Linked DNA regions of Elephas maximus indicus. The protein of the gene in region 1 interacts with the protein of each later gene in a pairwise test. Links are inferred from orthologs where the notes say so. Each region holds a gene or a part of one and is shown in the gene's direction. Other genes may lie near its edges.

Region 1 (7,984 bases):
CTACCATAGATGAGGGTCTCAGAGGATGTCAGCTATATAAATGACTATACAAATATAAACATATCTGTGTGAAACTTCATCTTCCATATGTGGATTTTTGGAACCAAGGCAAATGGAACTTAGCCACAGACTGCAAGAAAAAAAAATAATAAAAGTAGACAAACTCTGATCTACTATGATCTAATCTACTTACCCAACTAGGCAGTTTGTAACTTGATGGACTTAATTTATACAGCATCCAAAAAACAAAACCTATTTAAGCACCACAAAACCCAGTGGCACTCAATGGGTGAGATCGTTGGGGACAATGGCTCCTACTGACTCTTCATCAGAAGATCAAGTGTTTATTGCTCACTTCCTATGATAGGGTGGAATTCAAGGGAAATCTAATTGTCCAGGTTGATGGAACTCTAATCTCGGTTCCAGGGAAGTTTGGGGCAGTGCAGAAGGAAATAAAATTACAATAAACAGAAGGGGAACTTGGTCCTGGGGAGATAAGTGAAAAGTAAGAAATCTAGCCTTTAAGAACAAGAGAGCCCTGCAGATAGTACTTAGGAAGAAGTCCTGGGTAGAGAGGTAAGAGAGATGGAGAAGGAGAGAACTTGTCTAGAACATGGTCTCAACCCAAGCCCCAGCAGACTTTCTAGAAAAAGAAAACTTTATTTCTGTATGAAAATTAGACTTTAAAGAAGTAGCAGGTGATTTGGGTAGATTGTTGGCGTTGGGTGACGGAGAGTGGATTTTCAACTCACAGCAGCAGCTTTATCACTTGCATTTGTGGCCCAGGAGTTTTTGCTTTAGCAGCATAGAAATTAAAATTGGAATAATACACAGGCATGAAAAAATTGAACAGTAGAGAAATTCAGGATTCCACAGCCCACGTACCCCCTTTCTTAACCCTTAGAGTAAAACCACAGCCTAGAAATACTTTGCAGAAAAATTCAATTCAATTAAATAAATTATCATTTATTACCTATTGCTTGAATGAACATATTTTTTCTCTTTCTTCACTGCTTATCTGCATGAAAAGGTGTGCATAGGTTTCTAAGTATGATTTCGTTGTATTTGCTCTCATTGCATTCATGCCTGTAGGATCATATCTGAGAAGCAGGCAGAGCCAACCACATATTGCTGCATATTCATTGTTAGCATTTTTACCACGGAGGTGGTGGTGGTGGTGGTTCTGCATTCCAGTTGCCTGTTTTGCTTTCCCAAGAGAATTTCTTTGGAAATGTCAGAGACTGTCTTGGGGCATCTTTGAAGAGCTACTTAAAATGGAATGCTTTGCTCAACTTGAAAATGTGCTTTTAGCCCAAACTTTATGGAACCCTTTCTTGCTTATACAATATGAATCCAACCCCGTGGTGAATGCTTGGCTCATGCCCAGAACTGCCCGTTATGCCCATCATTGCCTCATTTTAGTGCTTAAAATTAACAAAAAAGAGAGGCATCTTGGCTCCTTTTTTAAAGGTAAGGAAACAAGGATCAGAGAAGTTGAGTAATTTCTCCAAACTCACCGAGCCAAACCACAAACCCAGCCCTGTAAGCTGCCAAAGTCTCTTTGCTCCTCAGACACCACGTTGCATCTCCCTTCTCTTCACTTAAGGTCCAATGGAAAGAGCAGAAGGGGTCAAGTTTCAAACAATAAGAAAAATTAAGAAATCTATGCCCGGAAGCAAGCAAGCTGGCCTCCTTCAACTGGCCACGATTCCTCCTCTCATTTCCATCCCTTTCTGCTGTTTGGCAGATTTTCTCTCCCCCACGCTTCCTCCTTGATCTTGTTTGAAACCTCTTCCCTGGTGAAGTCATTAAGTTCCAGGCCTTTAGTTTACTTTGGTCCATAATTGAGATGGAACCATATGTGCTGATGCGATTGGAACGATACAGTATTCCCTGGACGGCAGTAGAATTGTGGAGGGGTGGCGTGTGTGTTTAAGATTAAAAGACCAGGTGTGGGGGAGGAGCTGTAATGAACAAAAAAATTATTTTTTAAGCAAATGCTAAACCTACAGTTATGGAAAAAGTTCCCTTCCCATGAGATCCTCTCAAAGTATTTTACCATCAGCAAACGCAGAAGTTATTCTCCCTTTTCTGAGATGCAGCCGTCTTGAAACTAACCAGATACACACAGCATCACCAGCTCAGAAGTGCGAATAACCCCCGTGTACCAATTGCCCAAGAGGTCCCTGGGTGGCGTGAATGGTTTGCGCTCGACTGCTAATTGAAAAGTTGGCAGTTCAAACCCACCCAGCGGTGCTGTGGAAGATAAGGCCTGATGATCTGCTTGAATAAAAAAATTACAGCCAAGAAAACCCTATGGGGCAGTTATACTCAGCTATACATGGGGCCGTTATGAGTCGGAATCAACTCAGCGGCACCTGGTTTGGTTTCGCTGACCAGTAGCCCAAGAGGTTGATGTGGCTCAGTATTGCTGGTCAGCGTGACCACTTGCATCCCCATGGAAAGGTTCAACTATGCATCATGCTCCAGATAAAATGTAATTAAATTAGAAGGCATATCTCTTCAAATAAGCACTCTCGGGGCATACAGAAGTCAGTGTGAAGTATCTGGAAGAGGACATTTTTTGGTTCCTTGATAAATGGGAGGGTTAGATTCGGAATTTTCTTGCTACTTTCTCAGAAATGTAACTCTGGAATTTCTTACTGTGACTGGAGATTCTTGCTGCACTCTGGATTTTAATGTGTAAACACTTAGATGGACTTATTAAATCACTCCCTAAGGAGGAGAGGAGTGGACCAGCAACCTTTGCTGGTGACTCACGAGCCGGGTGGAAATTCCCTGAGCAGTTGATCGGAGCTGGGTGAATCTAAACAGTTAATGCACTTTCAAAAGCCTCTCATTTATTATTCCGGAAGAGTAATTTACTCACTAGAACTGTCTGGGTGATAACAAACACATTTGTATCCTTAAAAAGATCAGTTGTATTTTAAGATGACACATATAAAGCAAGAACAGGAAAGTCATTAAAGACTGACAGCCTGTTTCCCATTTTTGAGAATATTCATTAAAAGGTTCCTGCTGCAAAAGGGACAGAAAAGAGCCTGGAATCATGGCACAGTGAATCATACCGCAAACATGTTAACTCTGGCCAAGGAGAGGTCTATGAATAAAGCCAGAGAGGAGGTCAGCAGAGCAAGATAGAGACCAGACGGTGTTGGGGGAATTAGGGGACATGCAGCATTGTTCCCCAAGAGAAAAGTGAGCGTGTTTTTGTTTTTCACGTCACCTTTGTACCCACAGGCTTTTGATACAGACAGCAGTGCTGAAGGCACTGAGGAACAGTACAGTAAGTGGAATTTCTTTTACTAAACAAATCTGAGTCATATGGCCTCTGTCATTCCCAGACTACCCTCTGCTGCTAAGACCTTTTTGCTCCAGCCTTCCTTTCTAGCTCAGGGATTCTTGGCGTCTCTCCCTGTTATGAAAAAGATGAACTATTCCAGAAAGTTACATACTGTTTCTAACGTAATTTTCCTCTTAATGACTACATGATTAAAACACAATGTGCAGCAATTCCACTCCTGGGTGTATACCCAAAAGCAATGAAAACAGGGACGCAACCAGATACTTGTACACTGTAACGCTATTCCCAATAGCCAGAAGGTGGAAACAACTCAAGCATCCATCAACAGCTGAAAGCATAAACAAAATGTGGTAATCCACACCATGGAATGGGATTTCACCATGAACAGAAATGAAGTCCTGATATGTCCCACACACGAATGAACCTTGAGAACATTCTACAAGTCAGACACAAAAGGACAAATATGATCCTGCTTATATGAAATATCTAGAATAGGCAAATGCATAGAGACCTAAATAGATCTCTCTTTAGGGGAGGCAGAAGGGGGATGAGGAGTTATTGCTGAAAGGGTACTGAGTTTCTGTTTGGGATGATGAAAAAAAAATTCAAGGCAAATAATGGTGATGGATGCACAGCATTGTGAATATAATGAATGCCATTGACTTTTGCACTTAAAAATGGTTAAGTAGCAAATTTTATGATATATCTATATACCTACATCTATATATATATTTAGGAAACCCTGGTGGCATAGTGGAAACCCTGGTGGCATAGCGGTTAACTGCTAACCAAAAGGCCGGCAGTTCGAATCCACCAGGCGCTCCTTGGAAACTCTGTGGGGCAGTTTTACTGGGTCCTGTAGGGTCACTATGAGTCGGAATCAACTCGATGGCACTGGGTTTGGTTTTTGGTTTGGGTGGCGTAGTGATTACGTGCTACAGCTGCTAACCAAAGATCGGCAGTTCGAATCCACCAGGCGCACCTTGGAAACCCTATGGGGCAATTCTGCTTGGCCCAACAGGGTCGCTATGAGTTGGAATTGGCTCAACGGCAACGGGTTTGATTTTTGGTATATATAAAACAACCTAGGGAGGGGGGATACAGTGCAGATGAGATAACTGTATAAGGCACTAAAAATGTCTCCTTGGGCCGTGGGCGTCTGGAGAAGTTACCCTATAGGTTATGCTGTAGTCCTTTCTTGCTTCTTTTTTGCAATTGAGCGCTTTTCCCTCAATTTGGAGAGACTTTTGCTTCTCAGCAGGAGTTGTTCTCATCTCATAAGTATAAGGAACATTTGTAAATAACCACAATCTAGTTTGGCTTCTGAAAATTACAAGCCCTGTCTTAAAACTCAGAGAGTTGGTAACTGGAGAATTAGTTCTCTGGTCATATTGCTGTGACATTGTCTTGCCTCCTATACTTTCCAGACTTTTGCAGTGCTTTTTTTTTTTTTTTTAATACAAAGAAAGATTTTGTGTGAAGCATGCTCTGGCAAGTTGGCGTCAGCAGAGGAGAGACAGGGCTAGGAGGTAGTAGGAGGTAGTATCGAATTCGTGCTAAGGAGAACAGTCAGCCTGCACCTGACAAACCTTGGTTCTAAGGAAACAAAGTATAAAGCCAAGATTTCTATAAGTAGATTAGTTGATCACTCATCGTAACAAATCATCTTCAGCATATTGCAAAGGCATTGCTTTTCACTGTCAGGTTCTGTTCACTACGTTACAAAGAGGGCAGTTCAGAAGCTTTGATTCTTAGATTAATATTAGCAAACTAAGTGTACAGATTCTTCCTTCCTGGTATGCTGGTGGTGGAGCTCATGCTGCTTCTCTCCTGTAACCCATGATGCTGTGGGTTTAGAGACGAGAGCACCTGCTTAGGACAACTCCTTAAATGCCACGCTGTTCTGGCTGTCCCCAAAGTTAGTTGCACAGTTTCCCTTCCTTTCAAATAAACTGGAACAAAGACTGATATGCATGTGATTCTTAAGCCTGAAAATGATGCAGTAAAAACAAAACAAAAGAACACAAAATTTTTCTTTCACATAGACATTCCCAAACTTAAAAATAAAAAATACATTCAGCTAGAGGTGAAATTACAGAACTCAATTTTGAGGTTAGTAATTCTGGGAGGCAGGATGCTGAGGCAGAGATGTTTTGCGATCAGACAGGCTGATGTTGATAGCTCAGCTATAAACAGTAAACACTGAGTCTTGGGTCAGTTTTCCATCCTCACTTTCCTCACTTGTATGGTGGGGATGGCGTCCCCAGGTGATGCACGTGGTTCCTGTGCTCAGCTAATAACTGAAAGTTTGGAGCTTTGAGTTCACCTAGAAGTGCCTTGGAAGAAAGGCCTGGAAATCTGCTTCTGCAAAACCAGCCATTAAAAACCCTATGGAGCACATTTCTACTCCGACACACCACGGGGTTGCCATGAGATCGGAATCGACTCAATGGCGATTTGTTTGGGTTTATGGTGGAGATAATGATATCTCTCTGTCAGCATTGCTCTTGCATTGAAGTGAGAAAAGGATATACAGCACCTACTGTAATGGCTCGTGCATGGTAGGGCTGTATTCATAGTGAACCCAAATCCATGATTTCAGAGTTAAATGATGAAGGTCAGAGGAAAAAAAAAATCTCAGATTGGTTATATCTGCAGGAAAATGCTGTTATATCCTAAGATGCTTTCAGGATTAACTAGGGACACAGCAAGAATGCTACCCATGGAAAATATCTCAAAGTATTCCACTTATTAGAGGAAGTCATCAATATGGATAATGTACAGTCAAGCAAATAGATGCCTGTCCTAATAAGCAAAGTCCCTGAAAGGTTAATTAATTATTATTACCAATAATTATTGGTACATGATGTTGAAAACTTAAAGTGAGCTCTCTACTTTTACAGCTTAGTCAAAAGAACAGTCATAGTTTTGGTTTTGCCTTTTTTGTTTTGAAATATCTCGGTCTGAAAATTAAGTTTCCACAGGCAAAAATCCTCAACAAAACATCATCATTCTATTTTGCGTATTCTTCATAAACATCATACTTCATATCAAAACATTCTTCTGGGACTAGGGAAAAAAAAAAAACTAAACGCGTTGTCGTCATGTCAATTCTGACTCATAGTGACCCTACAGGACAGAGTACAACTACTCCATAAGGTTTCCAAGGAGCAGCTGGTGGATTTGAGTTGCCAGCCTTTTGGTTAGCAGCCAAACACCTAACCGCTGTGTCACCAGAGCCCCAAATACAGGATTCAGACATTCCAGTGGCAGCAGCCCCATTCTCTTTTTTATTTCATTGTTTGCTAGGGCTTTGGTTGTTTCTGGGGTAGCAGTTGCAGCTTAGGCTACAGCTTTCCTAAGAGATAGAGTGAGATGCAGAACAAGGTCAAACCAAAGATTGCTTGTGTCTGCATGTCCAGGGCACACTGATCTTCAGCCAGCTGAATCTTCCCTGAGTTTCTGCATTGATGGTGAGTGTTCACATTTCCTCACTCCAGTCTCTACTGAAGCCATCACCCAAGTAGCACAGTAGCAGTCATAACCTCCATGTCACCGATGTTGGCCGCAATATTTGAAGTAACCCCATCAACCAGGAGGCCATGTGCTATCACCATTTAAAAACAAACTCGGATAAAGCTTGGTGTAGAAAGAGAGGATCCCATGAAAAGGCTTTATCCACACTTACATTACAAATGATACTGTAATGGTGGATACATGACATTCGTCAAAACCCAGGGAACTCTGTAACACAATGGGTGAACCCTAATGTAAACTATGGACCACTGATACATTGTTACTAACAAGGTTTTGATATTGCTTCATCGATTGTAACAAATGTACCAAACCAATTCATGATGTTGGTAATAGGAGAAACTGTGTGCAGGGGCTTGAGGGAAGATATAGAGGAACTCTGTACTGTACTTTCTGTGCAATTTTTCTGTAAACCTAAAATTACTGTAAAAAAAAATTTTAAGTCTTTTTTAAAAAGCAGCAGAGGTAGGGATAGGAATGGGTGGTTTGAGGGAAGAATGTTTGGAGGAGTGCAATGAAAAATCATTTGTCCATATACTTGGAGTACAGAGGCCTTGCTTTATTTCTGAGCTTCTAGGACTCCCTGGGTCTGAGGCATTGGTGGTTCGGTGGTGGAATGCTTGTCTTTTATGCTGGACACCTGAGTTTGATTCTTGTCCTGTACATCTCATGTGCAGCCACCACCCATCTGTCAGTGGAGGCTGGCGAATAGCTAGGATGCCAGACTGGTTTCGGTGGAGCTTCCAGACTAAGATGAACTAGGAAAAAAGGTCTGGCACTCTAACCCTATGGATCACAACAGTCTGATCTGCAGCCCATCAGGTCCACTGTGCTCAGGATCTCCCTGAGTCGGGGGCTGACTGGACAGCAGCTAACACCACCACCAAAGAAGACCTCTTTGGGAGAAATATTCGCTTGTTTTTGCTACTGTTTCTTCAGAGAAAAGCCATGAGGATGAAGTCTGCTTATAAAGCGGTGTGAGACGTTCACTTCCAGACTGATTACAGAGATGAGTGAATCTTTATTTTTATTTATTTTTTAGTAAAATTCTCATTTCAGGAAAGGTAGATATCTAGTGAAGGTTCTACAGTTAATTTTCTTCCAAAATTCAGATAATGAAGACAA
Region 2 (7,975 bases), on another chromosome or scaffold:
TCACAATTAAAAAAAAACATTTGCCATCCCTAAGACTGATAATGCAAAGTTTTAGAATAAAATTTGCAATTTATGAAAGTTTTTGATGTTAATATGATCTAGATGGGAAATATTTAAAAAATTTAAAAGAACAGCAATGCCAAATGTTGGCAAGAACGTGGACCAAACCAAAAAACCAAACCCAGTGCCGTCGAGTCGATTCTGACTTGTCGCGACTCTATAGGACAGAGTAGAACTGCCCTGCAGAGTTTCCAAGGAGCGCCTGGAGGATTTGAACTGCCAACCCTTTGGTTAGCAGCTGTAGCACTTAACCACTATGCCACCAGGGTTGTGGAGCAACTGGAAATTATACATTGCTGGTGAGAATATAAAATATATCCACCTTGAAAAGCAATTTAGTAGTTTAATGTAAAGTTAAACATACACTTGCTACGTGACTCAGCAATTCTACTCTTAAGTATTTACCAAGAGAAATTAAAACATGTCCACACAAAGACTCGTAAATAAATGTTTATAACGGCATTATTCATATAGCTAAAAACTGAAAACAACCCAAATGTCTATCAGCAAGTGACTGGATAAACAAAGTGATACATGTGTTTACGGAATTCTACTCGGCAGTGAACAGGAGCAAACCACTGGAACCTGAGAACTGAGATCCATGGAGAATCTCAAAAGCAATATGTGATTGAAAGAAGACAGATACAAAAGAGAACATACAATATGATTGCATCATGTGAAATTCTAGATAAGACAAAGCTAATCTACGATGACAAAAAGCAGATCAGTGGTTATCTAAAGCCAGGGGTGGGAGGCGTTGGCTGCAACAGGACATAAGGGAACTTTTTGGGGCAATGAAAATGTTCTGTATCTTGATTGAGGAGGTAGTTACACTGGTGTGCATATTTGTTAAAACTCATCAAACTGTACATTTATAAAGGTTGCATTTTATTGTATGAAAATTATACCACAATAAAGTTGATAAGAGATTTGGGAACATGTACAGGAATTTTTATAACAACATTACTTTAACAGCAATGAATTAGAAAATTGGTCATTAACAGAAGAATGTTTCAGCTCTGTGTGACCCTCTGCCATCAGAATGGCAAACATTTGGAAGGAGATGTAGCAGATGCAGATAACACCCCTCCCATGTCCCCTCAGCCTTTACCAGGACCGGCATCTCTTCCTGGAGGTTCTCTCTGGTGGCTGGATCCCTCTCTGCCCAGGCATTGACACGGCCTGGGAGTAGCCATTAGCCACTGTCTGACAGGAGTTGGTGTGTAAATGTCTTAGTTACCTCATCTATCAGGTAGGATAACTCTCAAGTGGTAGAGTACACTGTCTCCCAGAGTTCCCCAGCAGGACTGAGCTCCAGTTGCCCACACTGGTAACTTGCTTGATGTTATTGTTAGTTGCCACTGAGTTGGTTCCAATTTATGATGGCTCACTTGATAATGCTTCCTTAATTGGTTTCCTTCCCTTCCTTATCTCACTCACGTCTCTACCAGTGTTATCTGTGTCTCCAAAAAAACAGCTACTTTCACTTGAATCCTTGTCTAAGGTTTGGTTCTGGGGAATTCATATTAAGACCAGGGGGTGATACCAAAAGTTGATGAAGTTAATGGGGAAATTGTTGGAGAGAAATTGGGTGGCAGCCATTCTGCAAGTATCTATCATTTTTGGCAAAAGCAAGTCTTAAAACTTTTCACACAGGTCCACTAGGGGATGTATGTAAGGATGCCTAGTGTGGCATTGTTTATGTTAGTGAAAAGTTGGGTGCAATCTAGGTGTCCATGACTAGGGAAATGGATAAATAAAATGTGGAGGATGTAAACAATGATTACATGGTAGTTAGAAGCAGTGAACAACCAGTACCTCCAGCAACGTGGCTAGATATTAACAGCACAGTGATAGAGTGAAAAAAGTATGAAATTTATAAGTACGATTCAAGTAAATTAAACACACACTTAAAACATTTCCTACTTTTTTTTTTTAAAGTATATACATATATTTAAGCACATATACCAAACACATAAGAGCAGAGGCATTGTCTTTCTTGTTCATTGTTGTGAGCTCTTAGGGGACATTTGGCAATGTCTGGAGACATTTTTGGCTCTCACAACTGGGGGATGTGTGTGCTACTGGCATCTAGTGTGTTGTTCTTAGTTGCCAGTTGCCAGTTGCCATCAAGTCGGCTTCCACTCACAACAACCTTATGTATAAGAGAAGGAAACGTTGCCTGGTCCTGCACCATCTTCATGATCATTGGTATGTTTGAGTCCATTGTTTTGGCTAATGAGTCAATCCATCTCATTCAGGGTTTCCCTCATTTCAGCTGACTCTCTGCTTTACCAGGTTTCACTGGCTAAATCTTTTCAGAAGTAGACTGCCAGGTCCTTCTTCCTAGTCTGTCTTAGTCTGGAAACTCAGCTTAAACCTGTCCACCATGGGTGACCTTACTAATATTTGAATACCAGTGGCATAGCTTCCAGCATCACAGCAACACGCAAGGCCCCACGGTATGACAAACTAACAGACACTTTACCAGGACGGCGAGACTATGTCTCACATGCTTTGGACATGTTGTCAGAAGGGATCAGTCCCTGGAGGAGGACATCATGCTTGGTTAAGTAGAGGGTCAGTGAAAAAGGGGAAGACCCTCAATGAGATGGATTGACACAGTGGCTGCAACAATGGGCTTAAGCATAACGATTGAGAGGATGGCGGGGGATAGAGCAATGTTTTGTTCTGTTGTGCATAGAATCACTATGAGTCGGAACCAACTTGACAGCACCTAACAACAACTGCTTTACCAACCGTGATGTCTTTTTCTAGCAATTGGTCTTTCCCGATGATGTGTCCAGAATAAAGAAGCCAAAGTCTCCTTTGCTCCCAAGGAGCATTCTGGTTGTATTTCTTCTAAGACTAATTTGTTGTTTTTCCAACAATATTCTTCACCAACGTCACAATTTGAATGCATTCACTCTTCCGTCTTCCTTTTTCATTGTTCAGCTTTTGCATGCATATGAGGCGGTCAAAAAGACCTCATATATTTGGGTCAAGTGCACCTTAGTCCTCAAAGTGACATCTTCGCTTATTAACACTTTAAAGAGATCTTTCGCAGCAGATTTGCCCCATGCAATTTGTCCTTTGATTTCTTGACTGCTGCCTCCATGGGTGTTGATTGTTCATGCAAGTACACAGGTGGTGGATCTAGGGGGTAGAGGTCAGGAACGCTGCTGAAAAGCCTGCAATTCACAGGATTAGCCCCCTTTCAAGAAAAATTTTAAGTCCAAAAGTCCAGAGTACCGAGTATGAGAAGCTTGACTTATCCCAGCGCTCAGCACAGTGTCCTACACAGTACTGCTGAATGAATGAATGAATGAATGAATGAATGAATGAATGAATGAATGAATAAGAGACAACGGTAGCCAGAGCTGGCTTGTGGCTGTGGAAGAGAGAGACACAGTACATTTTAAAGTTGTGTCTGGTAGAATTTAGGGTGACAGTTCCTCTCTTTTCCAGGGGCAGATGGGTTGTGCTCTTCTCCAGCGCTGAGCCGGATCCCATCCAGTCACCCTTCTGCCTCCTGTCCACCCTTCTCAATTTGGGAAGCTGTCTGTGTTGCCAGGAAATGGGCAGGAACCAGCCAAGGGCAGTTTTGCGGGCGCAGAGCTTTGCATGGCGTTTGACTAGGGCAGGGCCTGTGGACGGGAAACCACTGACCACAGAAGGGCCGGGAAGGCCAGGGATGCAGCGTGGGAGAGGCGCCTGGGCTAAAAGGCGGGTGGATGGGGAGACCCAGAGGTGGCGAGGACTTCGGGATCCCCAGAGAAGGAACTTAAAGCAGAGGAGGGTGGAGTACCAGGTTAGACTCCTGTGGGATGAAGGGAGATGGGGAAACTAGGTTAGAATCTTGAGGAGGGAGGGCAACCGAGTTAGGTTCTTTAGGGAGTTGGTGGACAAGGGAGGGATTAGAATTGGGGGGGGGGCAGGTTAGGACCCTGCTGGGAGAGACAAGGTGGGGGTTAGGACCCTTCAGGACTAAGTTGGAGTCTTTGAAAAGAGGGATTCGAATCCTTTGATAGGTGGAGTTAGAATCCCGGGGGGGGGGGCGGATTAGAACCTTCGGGTGAGCAGGGTTAGAGTCCTGAGGGGGAGGTTAAAATCCTTCTGGAACAAACGCGGGAATCACTCAGGAGTGGGATTAGAATTCCTAGGGTTAGAGCTATAAATCTTGAGAACCTGGTTAGAATCATTGGAAGAACCAGAAACCCACTGCCGTAGAGTGGATTCCGACTCATAGGGTTTCCAAGGCTGTAAACCTTTAGGATGCAGGCTGCCACATCTTACTTCCTCGGAGCGGCTGGTGGTTTCGAGCCGCCGACCTTTGGGTTAGCAGTGGATCGCTTTAACCACTGTGCCACCAGGGCTCCTTTAGAACTAATAAAAAATTAGAGGAGTTAAAATCCCTGGGGGCAGGATTAGAAATCTATGGTGGGCGAGGCTAAAAATCCTTTAGAAGTGGAATCGAAAATCCTCTGCGGTCACAGTTACGATCTTAGGAGGAGGGGGCCGGGTTAGGGTTCTCTGGAGGGCGGGTTAGAAGCCCTAGGGGCAAGGTTTGGAATCCTTCGGGGACTGGATTAGGCTCCTTCCGAGGCGAGGTTAGAGTATATTAGGGGCGGTGTCACGATACGGGGAGGAGGAGATGGGGGCTAGCTTCTTTGAGGGACGGGTTAAAATCCTTGGGGCGGGGTGAGGACCTTTGACGGCTGTGTTAAAAGCCTCCAGTGGGCGGAGTTAAAAATCCCGGCTCCTGGGAGGAGTGCACCCAGGGTAGGCTCCCCAGGGAAAGGGTTAGAATTCTTGGGGTGGGGTTAGAATTTGGGGGAAGGGGTCAGGCTCCTTTGGGGAGGGGTTAACACCGGCGGGGCGGGGCTAAAGTACCTCTGGCCTGTGGGCGCCCGCGAGTCCCCGGTTCCAGCCCCCCGGCTCCGCCCAGGCTCAGAGGCGAGTGGGAGGGGACCGAGCCGGTTCAGCTGGAGAAAAGTCCGAGAAGGCCCGCGGCTCCGAAGCCCCTGGGAGCCGCGCCCCAGTATTTTCTTCTCGAAAGTCACTCCGTTTTCCTCCAGGCTCGGGCGCCCCGGAACCCCGGGGGCTGCTAAGCTGGGGGGGCGCCCGAGCTGCGAGAATCCGGGCTGCCCGCGAGACGAGGAGCGGGCACCCAGGTGAGTGTCGCGGACAGGCCGGTGGCGGGGGGATAGCACCTGGCCGGTGAGCTCGGGGTCCTCGGGCGGCGGAGGGAGCCCGGGGTCTTGGGCAGGGCTGCCTGTGGGTGCAGCCAGTCGGAGGGGCGGGAGCAGAGCGCGTCCGGGGAGCCGCGGACAGGCGGTGGGATAGAGGACCAACGGGGACAGGTGGGTGCCCAGGTCAAGGAGGAACTGCCATGGCCCAGCTGGGAGCCTGGGTAGCCCAAAGGGAGGGCTGAGTGACTTTGTGCTCGAGTGCCACTTCTCTTGCCGTCCAGGTTCCCCTTCTGCAAAAAAAAAAAAGAGAAGGAAGGGATGCGGCTCCCATGAGCAGACGGGAGGGGAGGGCCTTTCAGGTTTTCAGTGGGGGAGGATGACAAGTCACAGCGGGCTGGCAGCTGGTCGAGATCCCCTCCGGCCCAGGCCGGAGCGGGAAGGGGGCAGCTGGGTGGGGGCGTGACCTATGAGCCACACCCAGGCGGGGTAGCAGCTGGGCCAACTCCTTGAGCTCCCTTTCCCTGCCGGTCTTGGCCGGGACCCCCAAGAGGTCTGAGTCAAACCCCAAAACCTCTTGGGGAGACCACAGGATGTTATGAGACCTTGGGCAAGTCACTTCATTTCTCTGAATCCCAGTTTCCTTATTGGTAAAACAGGGCTATTAATTCCTTCCTCAACTGCTACAGTGAGCTAGAGTTTGTGAGAGGTTGTGTACGTGAGGTTGTTGCCTCTTAAAAAGAGACCGTTTAGTGTAGTGGTTAAGGGAGAGGACTCGGGTAGGGGATTTGGCCTTTCTGTGCCTGGGTTTCCTGGGAATAAAAATAATAATACCTCCATCACAGAGTTGTTTAGAGGATTAAATTGAGTTACTTAGGGGAAAGCTCTTAGAGACCGCCTGATAGGTATACATGCTTAATTTGTTGCCATAGCTTCAGAGTCCCTGGGTGATGCAAATGATTAACCGGCTCCAGATAACAGAAAGGATGCAAGTTCAAGTCCACCCAGAGGCACCTCAGAAGAAAGGCCTGGCAATCTACTTCTGGGGGAGAAAAAATCAGTCATCGAAAACCCCACGTAGCACAGTTCTCTGACACACATGGGGTTGCCATGAGTTGGAATGAACTTGGCAACTAGTGGCTGGATTGTCGTAGCTATTAAGGTCTAACCCAGTGGTTCTCAAATTTAGCAATACATCAGCATCACCTGGAGGGCTTGTTAAAACACAGATTGCTGGGCCCCAGCCCCAGAGTTTGTGATTTAGTAGTCTGGGGCAGGGCCCCAGAGAATTTGCAGTCTCAAACGATGCTGGTGCTGCTGGTTCCGGGATCACACTTTGAGAACCACTGACCTAATGTATGGCTGGTGCAGAGAAAGGTCTTAATAGATATCAGTTCCCTTATCCCACAGCTTTCTTGTCACTATCCCTTATTGGGGAAGTGGAGATTTTTAAAAATACAGAAAAGCAAAGAGACTAATACACTAAATATCCCAGGAACCCAATACCAGGAATTAACAAATGTTAGCATTTTGTCATGCTTACTTCCGAGTTTTTTTTTTAATGAAATTACTAAAAGTAACATGAAATCGAACCCCTCGCCCATATCCCTCCCAGTCTTGTTTCTCTCCCTCCTGAGTCTACCACTGTCATAAATTACAGCCCTTCCAGTCCATGTTTTTATAAATTTACTGCATATATATGTAATGCATCAATAAACAACACACAGAATTGTTTTCTTTCTTGACATCTACATAAATATTACCTAACTGTAAGAGTCTTCTGCAATTTCTTTCTTTCTTTTTTTCCTTCACATCATTAAGCTGTCAGAGTCTACCCATGACGAGAAATAATGGTCCCTTCATTCCTTTTAACTGCAGAGGAGTGTCCCAGTGAGTGACCACCCACATTGTTTCTCTTTTCCCTGTTGGTGGACCTTCAGGTTGTTCCCAGGTATTCACTGCTATAAAAGATGCTGCGGGGACCATCCTTTTCTTTCTTTCTTTTTAAAATTGTGCCTTAGATGAAAGGTTACAGCTCGAGTTAATTTCTCATTCAAAAATTTATAAACATATTATTTTATGACATTGGTTGCAGTCCCCCCAATGGGACAGCATGCTGTTCCTTTCTACCTCGCCTTCCCTGTGTCCATTGGTCCAGTTCCTGTCCCTTCCTGCCTTCTCATCTTGCCTTTGGGCAGGAGGTGCCCATTTGGTCTCATATATCTGATTGCACTAAGGAGCATATTCTCACTTGGGTTATTGTTTGTTTTATAGGCCTGTCTAATCTTTGCCAGAAAAGCGAGATTTAAGAGTGCTTTGGCTCTGAGTTAGCAGAGTGTCCAGGGGCCATAGCCTCGGGGTTCCTGCAGGTATTACTTGAGGGCAATGCCAAGGGGCTGATGGCTTCCCTGAAGGGGCCCCTCTCTCCCTCCCCTTGGGGAGAGGACAGGTAGGCCTGGAAGGGTCAACCAGGGAGTCTGGGGCAGAAACGAGAGAAGAATCTGGTTCTGCTGACCTCCCAGGTCTCACATTTTCACTGCACAAGGTCAAGAATCCTCATCCACCTTGTTCACTGTGCCTGGCATTTAGTAGATGCTTGAAAACTGGAAGCATACCTCTACCGTCAGCCCAAAAAACTGATGTCTGAGGGCCCTTGCCCCAGCGGGTGAGGAGAAGGGTGTCTGTGCTCAGAGAACTGGCAGCCAGGGCTTGGAATTAATTCTTCT
Region 3 (7,991 bases), on another chromosome or scaffold:
CCACATGGCAAAATGCTTGTGAGCAAGGAAAGGAAACCTAGGAAGGCAGAGTCTGGACCAAGATGGGGCCCATGCTGTCATTCGGCACCCAGAAAAAAACACCCGCCCAGAACAGAGAGGGCAAAAAGGAAGAGGATCTCCTTTGGAAATAGTCTTCAGCATCCTATGTCATCTTTAGTTGATATCTGCAAGCCAGAGCTGTTGCTGCTGCAGCCAAACAAAGGATTGACTGGAATCTGCTGGCCTGTGGGGCGCTGGCTGCAGGCGTAGAAAGCCTCATTGAAGACCTTATCAGGCGGTATTTTATGACTAGGGGTCTCTGGCCTTGTGCGCAAGGCCCTTCTCAGCTCCCAGAAGGCGGCCCGACCCCTGCGACTAAGCGCTCTAGGCTGTGTGTTCTACTGGCGCCTGGGTTTGGAAAGGTCATGGTGCAGGGCCGCGGAGATATCTGATGTTCTGGGCTGCGTGTGCACAGCGGTGCATGGGAGATCCTCACCCACTCCAGGCTGCCCCCCATCCGGGCACCCATGCTACAGCCCAGAGCACACTCCGGCTGTTTAAACAGTAATCGAGGTTGGTAGTCGTGGCATCTTTGTTCTTTTGGCGGGGACGTGTCTTGGATTGATTGCAGACCCCAGGCTGACACACGCTTGTTCCGAGGCCATTTTACAGCTTGGTTTCCAGGCATGGCATCCCCATGGAGGGGAGAATTGGAGGGGTGTCCACAGTAGACTGCCTGTCTCCATCCTGCTAAGAGGAGGCACAGACTTACAGTTGGTCTTCCAAGTGTTGTGTGGTGCTGAGCTCTGTGTTCTCCCCTTGCTTCCTGGAAAACCAGATCAGAGGGATATTGGAGGCAGGGCCCCCCACACTGCATTGTTTGAGGGAGGGGTTAGGTATGGAAAAAGGGGTGGGTATGGGGCCAGGGGCCACAAGTTAGAGTTGCAGCTCTCCTCTAAATCACTCAGAGACCTTGGGCCTGTCTGTGCCTCAGTTTCCTCATCTACCAAAGTGTCCATGAATGGCTGTGGCTGTCCGACTCTTCAACCAGTTCGATGCCACCAACATTTGCTGAGCAGCTCCTCTGGGCCTGAAGACCAGGGCTGAGTTGCCACAGTTCCAGTCTTCTAAGTCCTGGTCCCTGAAACCATAGTTACGGTTTTAAATAATCAAAGGTGATGGAGAGTGATTCATGGCATAGGGATTTCATCTGATAGGAGTCTTGAAGAGTGAGCAGAGGTTCACCAGGTGGGCAGGTGTGGGAAAGGCATTCTAGGCAGCACAAACGAGATTTACAGAGGCATGGAAGCAGGGAATGATATGGTTGTTTGGGAAACTATAAGTGGTTATGCTGAGGCTGAGCTGTGAAGGGCCTTCTAGGGTCTGCTTACCTCACAGGGTTGCCAGGAAATGCCTTGGAGTTAGAAGACCTGAGTTCAAATCCCAACATCTATTTTTTGGGTGGCTCACTGAACTGGAATTTCCTGCTTTATCAAATAAGCGGGATAATACCTGCCTTACGAGGTTGGAATGAGACATAAATAAGTACATGGTTAAAAACTACCTGGTATACACCAGGTGCTCAATGTGGGTTTATTAAATCTGTAGAAAATGAAATTGTACTTTCACTTAAAGCACAATAAAGTTTTTTTTTTTTTTTAATTAAATTGTAGTCTGAATATAACAAACATTGGTGCCTACCACAGGTCAGGTCTTTCCATGGCATCTCATTTAATCCTCATACTCCCTTTTTACAGAGGGGAATACTGAGGCCCAGGGAGAGGAGGTTGCTTGTTCAAGAGCACTCAGGTGACAGGATATGGAGCAGGGATTAGAATGGAGGGGGTTGAGCTCCAAATCTTTATTTTTTCCAGGCTTTCCTTCAACAGACAAACCACCTGCCCCTTTTCCTCCTCCCTTCTTCATGGCGGATACTGCTCACAGCCTCCTGGTTCCCATTCTCCAATCCTGCTCTGGTAATAGATCCCATTTGTAGCTGGGCACGTTATCGGTCAGTCCAAAGCCTACATTTCCTGGCCTCCCTTGCAGCTAGATATGGCCATGGGGCTAGGTTGTAGCCAACGAGGCATAAGTAGAAGCATCATGGGGAACCTCCAGAAGTCTCCTTAAAAGGAAAGAGACACATCTTGCAAATAAATGTTTAATTTTAAAAAAAGGAAAGGGAGGGAGGTGTCATCTTCCTACCTTCCTCCTACCTGCTAGCTGAATTAAGACAAAATGGCTAGAGCAGCCATCCTGAGTCATGTGGTGCTATGTTGGTAGGACAGCAAAATGATGAGTCACCATCCCAGCCCTGGGCTCGCTCCCACCCCTACCCTCTATCTTCTGAATCAACTCTTCTGTATTAAGCCTTCCCTTCAGCGTTCAAACAGACTCAAGTTTAGGTCCTTCCAAACTAAAAGAAAACCTTCTCTCAATCCCACATCCCCTTCCATGTTCCCTTTTCTGTCTCTTCCTTGTCACAGTTCACCAACTGGGAAGAACCACCTACTCTTAGGTCTCCATGTCTCCATTTTCCAGCCATCTCTCAACTCACTGGATTTAGGCTTCTGTCCTACATCCTGAGGAGCCCTGGTGGTGCAGTGGTTAAGTGCTCAACTACTAATCAAGAGGTGTGCAGTTCAAACCCATCAGCTACTCTGCACAGGAGAAAGATGGGGCAGTCTACTTCTGTAAAGATTTACAGCCTTAGAAACTCTATGGGGCAGTTCTACTCTGTCCTACAGGGTGACTATGAGTTGAAAAAACCTGACAGCAGTGACGGTTTTTTTTTAGGTCCTACATCCTACCTGAACTGCCTGGGCCAAAGGCCTCTGGACCACTAACTCTAATGGGCTTTCTTCTGCTCTCTTCTAACTAGAGCTCTCACAAGCATCTCACGCTGTTGCCCACACCCTCCTTAGACACTCCTCACCATGTCTTTGCCTCTGCTCTGAGCTCCAGTCCCCTCTATCCAACAATTGACTTCTCTACTTACATGTCTCAAAAACACCTCTAACTCAATGAGTTCAAATAGAACTCATTCATGGTCATTCCCTTCTCACTCCCCCAAACCTAGATGCTCTTGCCAGAAATATGGGAGATATCTTTGACACATTTCTTCCCATCACCACCCACAACTACTCCATCATCAAGCCCTGACAATTTCATCTCCTAAATAAAATCCACCCACTGCCATCAGCCATTTCGAACCACTAACATCTCTTGCCTAGAGCTATTACAATATTCCCCTAACTGGCCTTTCTGCCTCCTTCCAATCTCCCTAAAAATATGTCTTGTAGGCAGTAGTCAAGGGGATCTTTCTACCAATAGAATCATGTCACTGGCTTGCTCAGAAGTCAGCAACTACGTCCTGGGGATGAGAAGTCAAACTCCTGCCTGGGGCCTGCATGCCCAGAGGCTGCCCCTTCACCCCCACCACATCACCTCACTCCTCCTCCACCTCTGCTCTAGTCACACCAGCCTTCTGGCAGTTTCTTGGGCCCACGCGCTCTCTCTTTCCTTGGTCTTTGCACTAGCTGTCCCCTCTGTCTGGCCAGCCCTTCCCTGTTAGCAGTTAACACCTGTTCAGATCTCAGCCCAAGCATGGCTTCCACAGACCGGGTCCTTGCCCCACACTCCCACGGCACTATCCATAAACATCTCCTTCCTAGTACTTAACACCATTTGAAGTAACTTATGTATAAAAATGTTGTCCTCTCCAATTAAAATGTTAGCTTTGATGGCCTGTTTTGCTTGCTGTGTTATGCCCTGTGCCCACTATAATGCCAGGCATGATCACTCAAGGAGTATTTGTTGAGTGAATGAATGAACATGTACCCCCTGTTCCAGCTATTGTGTTCAGGTTGTTGTTGTTAGCTGTGGTCGGTCCAGTTGGCCCTGACTCATGGCGATCCCACGTACAATGGAAAAAAAGCCCACGTGGTTGTGCACGATCCCCACGGTCAGTTGTGAATCAGACCATTGTGATCCATAGGGCTTTAATCGGCTGATTTTTGGAAGTAGTTCACCAGGCTTTTCTTCCTAGCCTGTCAGCTCCGCTGAAACCTGTTCAGCATCACAGCAACATGCAAAGCTCCCATGACAGATGGGTGGTGTTTGTGCGTAAAATGCAGATGGGTTCTCCTGCGTGAAAGGCGAGAATTCTACCACTAAACCACCAGTGCCTCAGGAGGAGGCTTATAACAGTTACAAACAAGCATTTTAAAGGAAGATTTAAAAGGTAATGCAATAAGAAGTTACACTATGGAGATCATAAAAGCCAAAGGATGCTTGTGACTTTGGATAAAATTCCCAAAGGCACCAGTTGTTGTTAGTTGCCATCCTGTTGGTTCCCACTCCTGGAGACCCCATGTGTGCGAAGTAGAACTGCTCCATAGGGCTTTCAAGGCTGTGACCTCTCGGAAGCAGATCGCTAGTTGTTTCTTTTGAGGTGCCTCTGAGTGGGTTCGAACCACCAACTTTTTGGCTAGTAGTGTGCGTTTAGCCATTTGCACCACCCAAGGACTCCAAAGGGGGTATACTACATGGATTCACAAAATACGGGGACCCTAATCCAGGGATTTAGAAGTTTCATTTGAAAGGTACCCCTGAGAAAGTGCGCAAATAGAGACGGGTGAGAGGCAATCATATAAGGATGGGAGGGCGGTTTGTAAAATGTAGGGGTACAATAAAGCCTTCTTTTAAATTTCCCCCGGAGGGAAAAAAGTAGGAAAGCAAGTGCGCCTGCGCACACGGTCCGCCACGGCCCTAACTGACAACGGCCGTAGGGTGGCGCTGGGCGCATGCTCCCTGGCAATGCAGTCGTCCTCGCCTCCTTCAGGCCGCTCTAGCCGCTCTTCTCGCCTGCTCTGCCGGGAGGCGGGAGCGCCCGCGGGGGTCCCTCCAAGATGGCGGCGCAGAGGAGGAGTCTGCTGCAGAGTGTGAGGAACCGACCCGGTCTCTGGGCTGGGGGTAGGGGGTCCGGGGACGCCTGTTTGGTCCAGGAGCGACTCCCTCTCCGCTTTTGGACCTCCTTCCTCTCCCGGGCGGGGTGTGGCCGCTTCCCTCCCCTCTCCCGCGGCCGACCCCCTCATTCCCGGGGCAGGGGGCGCGCACTGGAGGTTCGGTCCTGCGCGTCCCGCGCGTGCGTCCTGCCCGGCCGGCGGCTGGGGTCACGGCCTTCCCGGTCAGAGCGCCTGCGGCCCCGGGGCTCCTCACTGCATTGCCGGCGCTCCCGGCCGGGCGTCGACGGTGGGACCGTTCTCGGAGCCGGCGGGGAGTGAGGCGCGCGGCAGCGGAAGGAGCCCGGGTTGTGAGCCCACCCGCCGCTCGGGGTAGTCGTGCAATAGTAGTAATAATCCTGGCAGCATCACTCATATACCGTTCACTACGTCCCAGGCATTGTGCTCATTGCGTTATGTTAGTAAATTTAATTTTCTTAGTACACCGATAAGGTACTATTTTTAGACCTGTTTTACAGTTGAGGAAACTGCGGCACAGAGAGGTGGTCATTTGCCCGAGGCCACACAGCTGGTCAGTGGCAGAGGCAGGAATCGAATCTGCGGTCTGAGTCCAGAAAAAGAAAAACCAAACCCATTGCCGTCGAGTCGAATCTGACCATAGCTACCCTGTAGGACAGAGTAGAACTGCCTCATGGAGTTTCCAAGGAGCACCTGGTGGATTCGAACTGCCGACCTTTGGGAAACCCTCTTAAACTCTAGGCTATAATGAAGGCATGACTGAGATAGTGGCCACCTGAGTTCTGGTCGTGACTCTGACTTACTGTGCCTCCTTCAGCTTCAGTTTCCTTATCTGTAAGCAGAGAGCAGAGCAGACCTGGAGTGGGAGGATTGTCCTGAGATCCCCCCTCTCCTGCAGCCTGGACACTCCTGGGTTTGGTGGTGATGTTGCCCTCCAGCCCCGGGCATCCTCCTGAGATGCATGTTCACAGATGCATATGTGCTCACATTGGCAACACAGGCTTATTCCCACCTGCCAGGACTGGGAAGCATCCTCTGGGTCCTGTCCAGTGTCCTAGGGTAAAATCACCACAAAGTTATAGTAGAGCAAGGAGAAAGACTTTATTTGGCATATGTTCCAAGAGGCAAAAGTAGGAAACGGACAAGCACGCTGCCAGAACCACGTCTGCCCGAGTCCAAGGAATGTTACAGAATCATCAGTATATATTAACATTAACATTACAGTGGGTAAAATCATTAAAAGTTTCACATTTTCACACATTGACTAAAAACTGCTAAATCACCATGATTCTGCATTTTGAATTGACTTTCTTAATAGCTACTGGTACAAATTTCGGTAATGACAGGAGGGTCTTCACTGGTCCAACAAATGTTACTGTTTGTTAAATGCTAATAGAAAAAGTAAGAGTGGAAAATGGGTGGGTCTTTTGTGCTCCGAATATGTAAAAGAGTCACTAAAAGATGTTTTTCAAGGTTGTTCTAGCTATTTTTTTTGTACCTCAAGGCCCAGTTGATGTGTCCTTCTGAGTCCAATTCATCTGGGCCACATTCTTTGTACTCAAGGACAGGGAATAATGGCTCCAATTTTAACTCCTAAGTTACGGGTCATGGATTGTTAGCTGTTGTTGGGTTAGCCCTCTACTCATGGCAGCCCCTGCACAGTGGTTTCGCTGCCCAGTCCTGCACCATCCTGTGATCGGTTGTTGATCGGACTGTTGTGATCCATAGGATTTTTATTGGCAGATTTTCAGAAGTAGATCACCAGGCCCTTTTCCTTAGTCTGTTTTAGTCTGGAAGCTCCACTGAAACCCGTTCGGCATCCTAACAACACGTAAGCCTTTTTCGACAGATGAGTGATAGTTGCACACGGGGTGCATTGGGTGGGAATCGAACCAGGTCCCCGGCGTGGAAGGCAGGATTCTACCACTGAACCACCACTTTCCCCATTGCCCTAGTTATGGCATTCTCGTAGTTGCCTGTGGACCTCTCTGGGTCCCATACTGGAAAGTGAACTCCTTGAAGATGGGGACTTGGGACCCCTTGCTTACTTTTGTTACAGCATCTACACTATTGTGTGCCGGGTACTCAATAAAAATTGGTGAAAAAATGAGTAAAGCATTTGTAGCCTGGCCCATTGCTTAGCCTTGGCCTTACGGATATGCAGCAGACATTGGCCCTCCTGCCATTGAGGGTCTTGAAGCATGGGGATTTGGGTGTGAGGGTGACCTTCACTGTTGCATGTTAATGGCAGGCTTTGTGTAGATTCTCTGGAAGCAGAGCCTTGTTCCAGATTGCTCCCTGGTGGGGACAGCTCTCTTCCCCTCCACACCAGAGGGCACTGGCTGCCCCTTTATTTTACTAAGGAGCCCTGGTGGTACAGTGGTTAAGCATTCAGCTGGTATCTGAAAGGTTGGCGGTTTCAACCCACTAGCGACTCTGCAGTGAGAAAGAGATAGCAGTCTCTTCTGTAAAGATTACAGCTTTGGAAACCCCATGGGGCAGTTCTGCTCTGTCCTATAGGGTTCTATGACTTAGAAACAACTTGATGGCAATGGGTTTTATTTTACTGCTGCTCAAGTCTGGCTTGTTGAGAAGTTGGTTGGGTATGGCTGGTACCCTCTGCTTTGTGAGCTCCTGGAGGGCAGTCCCCATTGTAGTAAGCATTCCGGAAACGCTTACTACCTGGATTATGATGTTGAGAGAGTGGCTGTGGAAGTGATAAGTGCTACAGGTAGACTTGTCTTGTTGAAGAGAGAGCGGCTGCCTGGGTTGTGCAGAGGGTGGGTGGCTCCCTTCTAGGCGTGATGGAGCCCAAGGAACTTGGGTTAGATAAAAGGTGAGCTTCACTAGCTCTCGTATGTGTTCTTGAGGGTAGTTGTGGAATCTTTCCTTGTACTTTTTAAAGATTGGATAAAGTTAGCTTTAAATACATATGTATTTAAAGACAGAGGCCATACAAGGCCCCTTCCTGCGACTTTCTCTAGTGATGATCTGGACATCCGTGCTCCG
Region 4 (7,228 bases), on another chromosome or scaffold:
CATAAAACATGTGTATTGTTTAATGAGAAACTAGTTTGTTCTGTAAACCTTCATCTAAAGCACAATTTAAAAAAAAAGCAACAGCAACAGCAAAGAGGGGTGAAGAGAGATGCCAAGCCACATGAAGATGGCCCAGGACCAGAAGCTCAAAAGGGACAAGGACCTTCCTCCAGAGCTGAGAAAGCCTTCCCATGGAGGCAGCACACTGAATTCAGACACTGTCATCGATTGACTTGTGTCCCCCCAAAATATGTGTCAACTTGGTTAGACCATGATTCCCAGTATTGTGTGTGTCCTCCATTTTGTGAATTTTCTATGTGTTATAAATCATAATCTCTGCCTGTCATTAAAGAGGATTAGGGTGGGAGGTAACACCGTTGCTCAGGACACATCCCTGATCCAATGTAAAGGGAAATTCCCTGGGGCATGGCCTGGTCATCTTTTATCTTACAAGAGATATTTAAAAAAAGGAAAGGGAGCCAAGCAGAGAGTTGGAGACCTCATACCACCAAGAAAGCTGTGCCGGGAGCAGAGCACATCCTTTGGACCCGGGGTTCCTGTGCAGAGAAGCTCCTAGTCCAGGGAAAGACTGATGACAAGGACCTCCCTCCAGAGTCGACAGAGAAAGCCTTTCCTTGGAGCCGATCCCCTGAATTCGGACTTGTAGCCTACTAGACTGTGAGAGAATAAATTTCTCTTTATTAAAGCCATCCATTTGTGGTATTTCTGGTATAGCAGCACTAGATGATTAAGGCAGACATCTAGCCTCCTAAACTGTGAGAAAATAAATTTCTCTTTGTTAAAGCCACCCATTTGTGGTATTTCTGTTATCTAGCACTAGATAACTAGGACACAACCTAAGTGCCTGTCTTAGGCTGGGTTCTCTAGAGAAGCAAAACCAGTAAAGCGTATAAATATATAGAGAGAAATTTATACCAAGGAAATGGCTCATGCGGTTGTAGAGGCTGGAATGTCCCAAGCCCATGGGTCAGGATATAGGCTTCTCCTGATTCACGTAGCTGCAGGGGCTGGTGAACCCAAGACTGACAGGTCAGAGAGCAGGGCTCTTGCATACGGGCTGTGAAGATCAATGAATCCCAAGATCAGCAGGCAAGACCGCAGGTAAGCTGCTAGCTCAAGTCCTGAGAACCAGAGGTCAGATGAACAGGAGCCAGCTGAAGGATCCAGCACAAGCGAAAAGCCCCCGAGGCTTGCCAGAATGTCCACTTATATTAGATGCAGGTCATATCCCCAAGGAAACTCCCTTTCAACTGAATGGCTACTCACAGCAGATCCCATCATGGGAATGATCACATATCAAATCTCAACATGGAAGTGATCACATTATACGACTGCCAAAACAGAGAATCATGCCCAAGCTGACATACGATCTTAACCATCATAGCGCCTATCAACAGACGAATGGATAAGCAAAATGTGGTACATACAGGGCTTCAAACTGGTTCGTTTTGGTTCAAACCTCTGCTAAGAAATTGCATTTTCACCCCACACATACTGGATCAGAATCTACATTTTAACAAATCCCCCGGTGATTCTTATATATAATAAATTTTGAGAACCACTGCTATACTAGTGGTTCTCAGAATTGGTCCCTAACTAGCAGTATTATCATCACCTGGGGACTTGTTAGAAATGCATATTCTCAGCAAGAGTTCATACCTGAACAAACCAGTTCCAAGCCCTAGGTACATACACACAATGACTACTATGCAACCATAAAGAACAATGATGAGTCCAGGATGGATGTATCTGGAGGACACAATTCTAAGTGAAATACGTCAATCACATAAGGACAAATATTGTGTGATCCCACTCTCATAAAACGACCAGGATAGATATATATATATATACAGAGACCAACGTTTATTAGTGGTTTCCAGGGGTGGGGGGCTCACACTCTAGATCCTAGATACTTGTTATTTTGGTGATGGGAAAAGTAACACTGAATGGGTGTAATGAGCACTACTTGATTAAAGTAAATGATGTCACTAAGAAACATGCAAGAGAAAAAGATGTTTGTGCTGAAGAAAATGACATCTTATTTTTGCAATACCAACAATAACCAAAAAAATGAGTGGATGGTCACATACGTATACATATAGGCATATAGATATACAAATACACAAATAGGTACAAGTATATATATATGTACACACAGAGAGAAGTATCTATAAGCATAGATATGTGTGTGCAGGCACATATATTCATAGAAGACACAATTCCAGATACTTCTCAGACATAACCAAACACCTTGAGAGATTGGTTGTCTAGGTCTGAAGGCTTAGGACCTTAGTCTCATGGGACAACTCAGTCAATTGGTATAATATAGCTCACGAAGTTCATGTTTGGCATCCTAGTGAAGTGAGTAGTGTCTGGGGTGTTAAAAGCTTGCGAGCGGCCATCTAAGATACAACTATTGGTCTCTACTCGTCAGGAGCAGAAGAGTAAGAGGGAAACCAAATTCTCAGAGAAGAAACTAGTTTACAGGGCTAACAGACCATTCTAATCAGGGCCACAATAGATGAACCCTGACTGAATGGGAGAAAAATGTGGGACAGAACTCAAATTCTTAAAAAGTCCAAACTTACTGGACCAATTGAGGCTACAGGACTCCCTGAGACTATCACCCTGAGATACTCTTTAAACCTTGAAGCGAAACTATCCCCTTAGGTCACCTTTTAGCAAAATAACAGAGTAGCACACAAAAGAAAGGACACTACCCATGAATGTGGTGCTCCATTAAAGAACCATCTATAGGACACCAAAAGATCAACAATTACCCTGAAGCAAAAATGAGAAGGGGGCACGGACACTAGGGTACTCGACACAGAGCAACCATAATGGAATTAAAGAGAATGTTACAAGTTGTGAAAAATGTAATTAATATCACCGAACGATCTGCATAGAAATTGTCAAATGGGAACCTGATTTGCTGTGTAAACTTCCAGAAAAATACTATAAAATATTATTAAAAACAAAAACCCTATGGGGTAGTTCTAATCTGTCACATAGGGTCGCTGAGAGTTGAAATTGACTGAGGGCATCCAAAAGTATGAGCTAGCCATTGTTTCACATGCTTTACAAATATGAACTTGTTTAATTCTCTTAACAGTCTTTAAGTAGGTACTATTATTTTTATTATCATCAACTCCATTTTACAGATGATGAAACTGAGGCAGAGAGAGGTGAGGTAACTTCCTCAAGGTGACAGAGCTCCTACATGGTGGAGCAGGGATTTGAAGCCTGGCAGTCTGGTAGTTAAAAAAAAAAATCCATGCTTTTAACTATTACATTACGCTGCACCATTACAGAAATTTTGGGAAATACACAGAAGCATACACGACAATCTCTACTAGCACCACTGGTCACATTTTGCTGCACAACCTGCCTGTACTTTGTATGCATATATAATACTCTATTTTTTTTTCAATTGAAACAGTCTCTACCTTCATCTGTAAGCTTCCTTAAGGACATTTCTCGTATCTGTACGGACAGCCTTACAATCATTTTAAGTGGCGCATAACGTTCTTTTGTACGGCTGAGACATTATCTATTTAAACAGTGCTCTACGAGGGACACTTAAGACTGCTTCCAATTTTTCACTGTTAGAGAGTTCCGCAAGAGGCTGAGGAGGTGATACACGTTTTAAAAAAAAAAAAAAAACTACCTTTTGAACCCAATCAGCTACAGCTGCAAAATAAATTTCTTTTTTTTAAGAAACCGCAAGAAAGTGCACGCTTTTCGGTGGGAAAATGGGCTACCTCCGCGACGCTTCCGGCTTTTCTTTCGTCTGGTGACTCCACAGGATTGGAGGCACCAGGCGCTTAAAGAAACGCACAAGCCCCCTGACCCCTACTACGCAGGCGTGGAGAAAACAGGCCGGGGCGGGGGTGGGGGGCGCTTGGAAGCTCCCGCAAATACCAAAACCAAACCAACCCAATGTCGTGGAGCCGATTGGGGTGTTGTGCAACAGGAACAAAAAATTAAAAAGGAGGGATTTCCTGCCTCAAGTCTACTTTTGGCTCCGCCTCTCTAAGCTTCTTATTGGTCAGATATCTTCAGCCCCATTGGTCCGAGGGCCAAAGGTCTGGGTCTGCCCTAGGATATGCCTGCTTTCGGAGCCGCGGTAAGAACGGCTAATTGAGATGCCCCTTTCAGGCGTTGTTTAGGACGTGTCCATGGGGCCGGAAGGGGCTTTGTACAGCAACGGAAGCAGCTGCGAATTCTCCGGCAAGTTTCGAAGATGCCGCCCAAAGGAAAAAGCAGTGCTGGAAAAGGAGGAAAAGGTAGAGCTGCCAGAAAAAGGGAGAATGGGGACGTGGGAGGAGCGAGGGGAGGGAGCATACAGGCGACCCCCGGAGTCTAGGACAAAGACAGCGCGTGGCAGCGGTCCCACAGAGCTGCCTAGGTCCGCAATAAAAAGTACATATTTATTATGTTTCTTGAAGTTCCTTTTAATGCTTGCAGAATGTCATCCCTACCATGGGGGAAAGACTCGTTTATCCATTGAACAGAAATGTGTCAGGTACAGTGCTAAGTGCTGAGGTTGTAAAAATAAGATATCGTGCTCTTAAGGAGGTCGGGAAGTAATGGGGAAGATAGAAACCGTAAAGCACTGTGCTAGATGCAGTGTTGAGAAATGTGTATGGGATATTACGGAAACTGAGGAAGTGTTTCATCTAGCTTGAGGAACAGGGAAGACTTCCTGGAGCTGAGTTAGGCAGGTCAAGATGGGCAGCAGGTCTAGCAGGAAAAGCACTGAGGTGAGGAACAATATGGTATGTGCAGCACAGTGTTGCTGGACCAAAAACTCAGGACTGAATGGTGAGTAGTGAGAATGAAGACAGAGGGCAAATCCTGGAGAGTGCTATGTATGATGCTAAAAAGGTTGGTTATGTGCTAAGAAGGGTCAGGGAGACCTGCAAGGAGATTTTTATCGTAGTCCTTGATGAGATATGATGGTGACTTGAACCAAGGTAGTGGCTGTGGGAATGGAGAGGAGAGAACAGATTCTATAAATACATACAATATGAAATATGCAGGACTTGGTGATTTATTGGATTGGGAACAGGGGAAGGATCAAGGATAGTTCTCAGTTTTTAGGTCTCAGTTTCTAACTTGATGTTGGTGTTGCAGACTAAAATGAAGAATATATGAGCAGGAATGAGGAGGTTGGTGAGTTCACATTTAGATATATTGAACTTGAAGTGTTTGTGGGACGTATAAGTGGAGATGTAGTCAGGAGGTGGTTGGATATTTGAGTCTGAAGTTTGAGGGAGAGATCTAGGTGGCACATATATATTTAGGAGTGATTAGCATATAGATGGATCCTAGATTTGGAGGTTTAGGGTCATGGTTTCATAGGACATCCCAGTTAATTGGCCTAATAACGTTTTCAGTGTTTCTGTTCAACCTCCTAGTTTGTTGCATAGTGACTGGGGTCTTAAAAGCAGCCATTCAAGGCACAACACTTGGTCTCTCTTCACTTGGAGCAACAGAGAAAGAAAGAGAGTAATAGTAGGAGGAAATAGAACGTATGGCTAATTGCCTCCATGAAAAACTGCCTCCTTTGCCATGAGACCAGAAGAACTGGATGGTGCCTGGCTACCACTACAGAACATTTTGATCAAAGGTTCTATAGAAGAATCCTGATCAAAAGGGGGAAGATGCAGAACAGAATTTCAAATTCTCGTAGAATCCAAACATTCTGGAGCCATTGAGGCTGGGTGAACCCCTGAAACTATTGCCCTGAGAGAATCTGTAACCCAAAAATATACCCTGAAGTTGTCTTAAAACCAAGCAGTAGTTTCGCTTAACTAGTAAAGAACCATCTGCCTTGAACATTGTACTCTTTTAACATCTATCTATAAGGGATCAAATTGACAACAGAAACTTGAAAGATTAGATAGGAAACTTAGGGAGCAGTGAGTTTATGTTAATGGGGAAGGAACAACTCAGAAAAGGAGGGTGAGAATGGTTGCACAATTTGAAGAATGTAATCAGTGTCACTGAATTGTACACGTAGAAATTGTTGGTGTATGTTCTGATGTGTGTATTCTCAACAGCAACAAAAATAAAGTAAAATATGTATATATATTTTAAGAACCTATATAGATGTATCCATGAGAGTGTATGAGATTATCCATGGAGAGCTTAAAGAATAAGAAGAGCAGAGGGCAGAGGATGTGATCCTGGGGCAGGTAGAGAAAGAGGCAGACAGATACAGGGAGTGAAAAAAAAAAAAACAACCCACTGCCGTCGAGTCAATTCTGACTCATAGTGACCCTATAGGACAGAGTGGAACTGCCCCATAGGGTTTCCAAGGAGTGCCTGGTAGGTTTGAACCGCTGACCATTTGGTTAGCAGCCATAGCTCTTAACCACTACGCCACCAGGGCTTCCACAGGGAGTGCAGTAGCTAGGTATTCCAGAGGTCAGAAAGACCAGAAGGTTTCAAGAAAAGAGGGCATAGCCTATCAAGCACAGCAAAGAGGTCAATAAAATGATGACTGAAAAAAGCACTGTTTAGATTTGGGAATTAGAGGCGGCCTTTTTTTTTTTTTTTTTTTTTTTAGGCCAAGAGTGGTTTCATTGGAATGAGGAAGGCAGAAGCCAGATTGCAGTGACTAGAGGACTGACAGTAGTGGTAAAATGGAGACAATCAGTGTGGACTACCTGTGAAAGTTTTAATTCAAAAAAGCATGGAAATTGAATGGTAGTTAGAGGAGGATAAAGGATTAAGAAGTTTTGTTTCTTCAGAATGGGGAAAACTTGGAAGTGAAGCTGAGGTGAAGGAGGCAGAGCAGTTGACCTTTGAGTAGAAGGGACATTTTGTGCTTGGGGTCACAAAGAAAGAGGCAAGGATCAGTGTGGTTGTAAAAATGGGGCCAGCAAGGGGGAAGGAGCTGAGCTTGTAGGAGATCATGCATAATCGCCTCAATTTCTTGATAAAGTCTAAGGGAAGGATATTTCTTAAGAAACAGGGACTGAGTAGGGATCCTGAGGAGAGTGGTAGAGATTTGGAATAGTCATTGAGAATAATGGGAGAGGGAGCGACAGAAACACAAGTAAAAGGATTGCTCTCAGGGCTGAGAGCCTTACTGAAATTGAAGACACTAATTTGTAGAAGATGTGATCTGCATAGTGATGATTTACCATGACAAGCAGGATTTACCATGAAATTGGCAGGATATAGAATTGAAAAGAGC

What was found.
Region 2: the proteins of EGFR (region 1) and HCK interact in binary tests that used the Homo sapiens proteins (3 or more experiments, as listed by UniProt). The link is inferred for Elephas maximus indicus from reciprocal best matches to the Homo sapiens genes EGFR and HCK.
Region 3: the proteins of EGFR (region 1) and TAB1 interact in binary tests that used the Homo sapiens proteins (3 or more experiments, as listed by UniProt). The link is inferred for Elephas maximus indicus from reciprocal best matches to the Homo sapiens genes EGFR and TAB1.
Region 4: the proteins of EGFR (region 1) and PIN4 interact in a protein complementation assay, tested with the Homo sapiens proteins (2 studies listed by BioGRID and IntAct). The link is inferred for Elephas maximus indicus from reciprocal best matches to the Homo sapiens genes EGFR and PIN4.

What each region holds. Positions count from the first base shown.
Region 1 is NC_064826.1:107,230,657-107,238,640, reverse strand, and holds the start of EGFR (epidermal growth factor receptor), read left to right. Parts: upstream 1-4,864; 5' UTR 4,865-7,984. UniProt on the Homo sapiens protein: Receptor tyrosine kinase binding ligands of the EGF family and activating several signaling cascades to convert extracellular cues into appropriate cellular responses.
Region 2 is NC_064843.1:37,418,434-37,426,408, reverse strand, and holds the start of HCK (tyrosine-protein kinase HCK), read left to right. Parts: upstream 1-4,974; 5' UTR 4,975-5,234; intron 5,235-7,975. UniProt on the Homo sapiens protein: Non-receptor tyrosine-protein kinase found in hematopoietic cells that transmits signals from cell surface receptors and plays an important role in the regulation of innate immune responses, including neutrophil, monocyte, macrophage and mast cell functions, phagocytosis, cell survival and proliferation, cell adhesion and migration.
Region 3 is NC_064822.1:183,333,410-183,341,400, forward strand, and holds the start of TAB1 (TGF-beta-activated kinase 1 and MAP3K7-binding protein 1), read left to right. Parts: upstream 1-4,887; 5' UTR 4,888-4,910; coding exon 4,911-4,943; intron 4,944-7,991. UniProt on the Homo sapiens protein: Key adapter protein that plays an essential role in JNK and NF-kappa-B activation and proinflammatory cytokines production in response to stimulation with TLRs and cytokines.
Region 4 is NC_064846.1:97,314,762-97,321,989, reverse strand, and holds the start of PIN4 (peptidyl-prolyl cis-trans isomerase NIMA-interacting 4), read left to right. Parts: upstream 1-4,172; 5' UTR 4,173-4,264; coding exon 4,265-4,307; intron 4,308-7,228.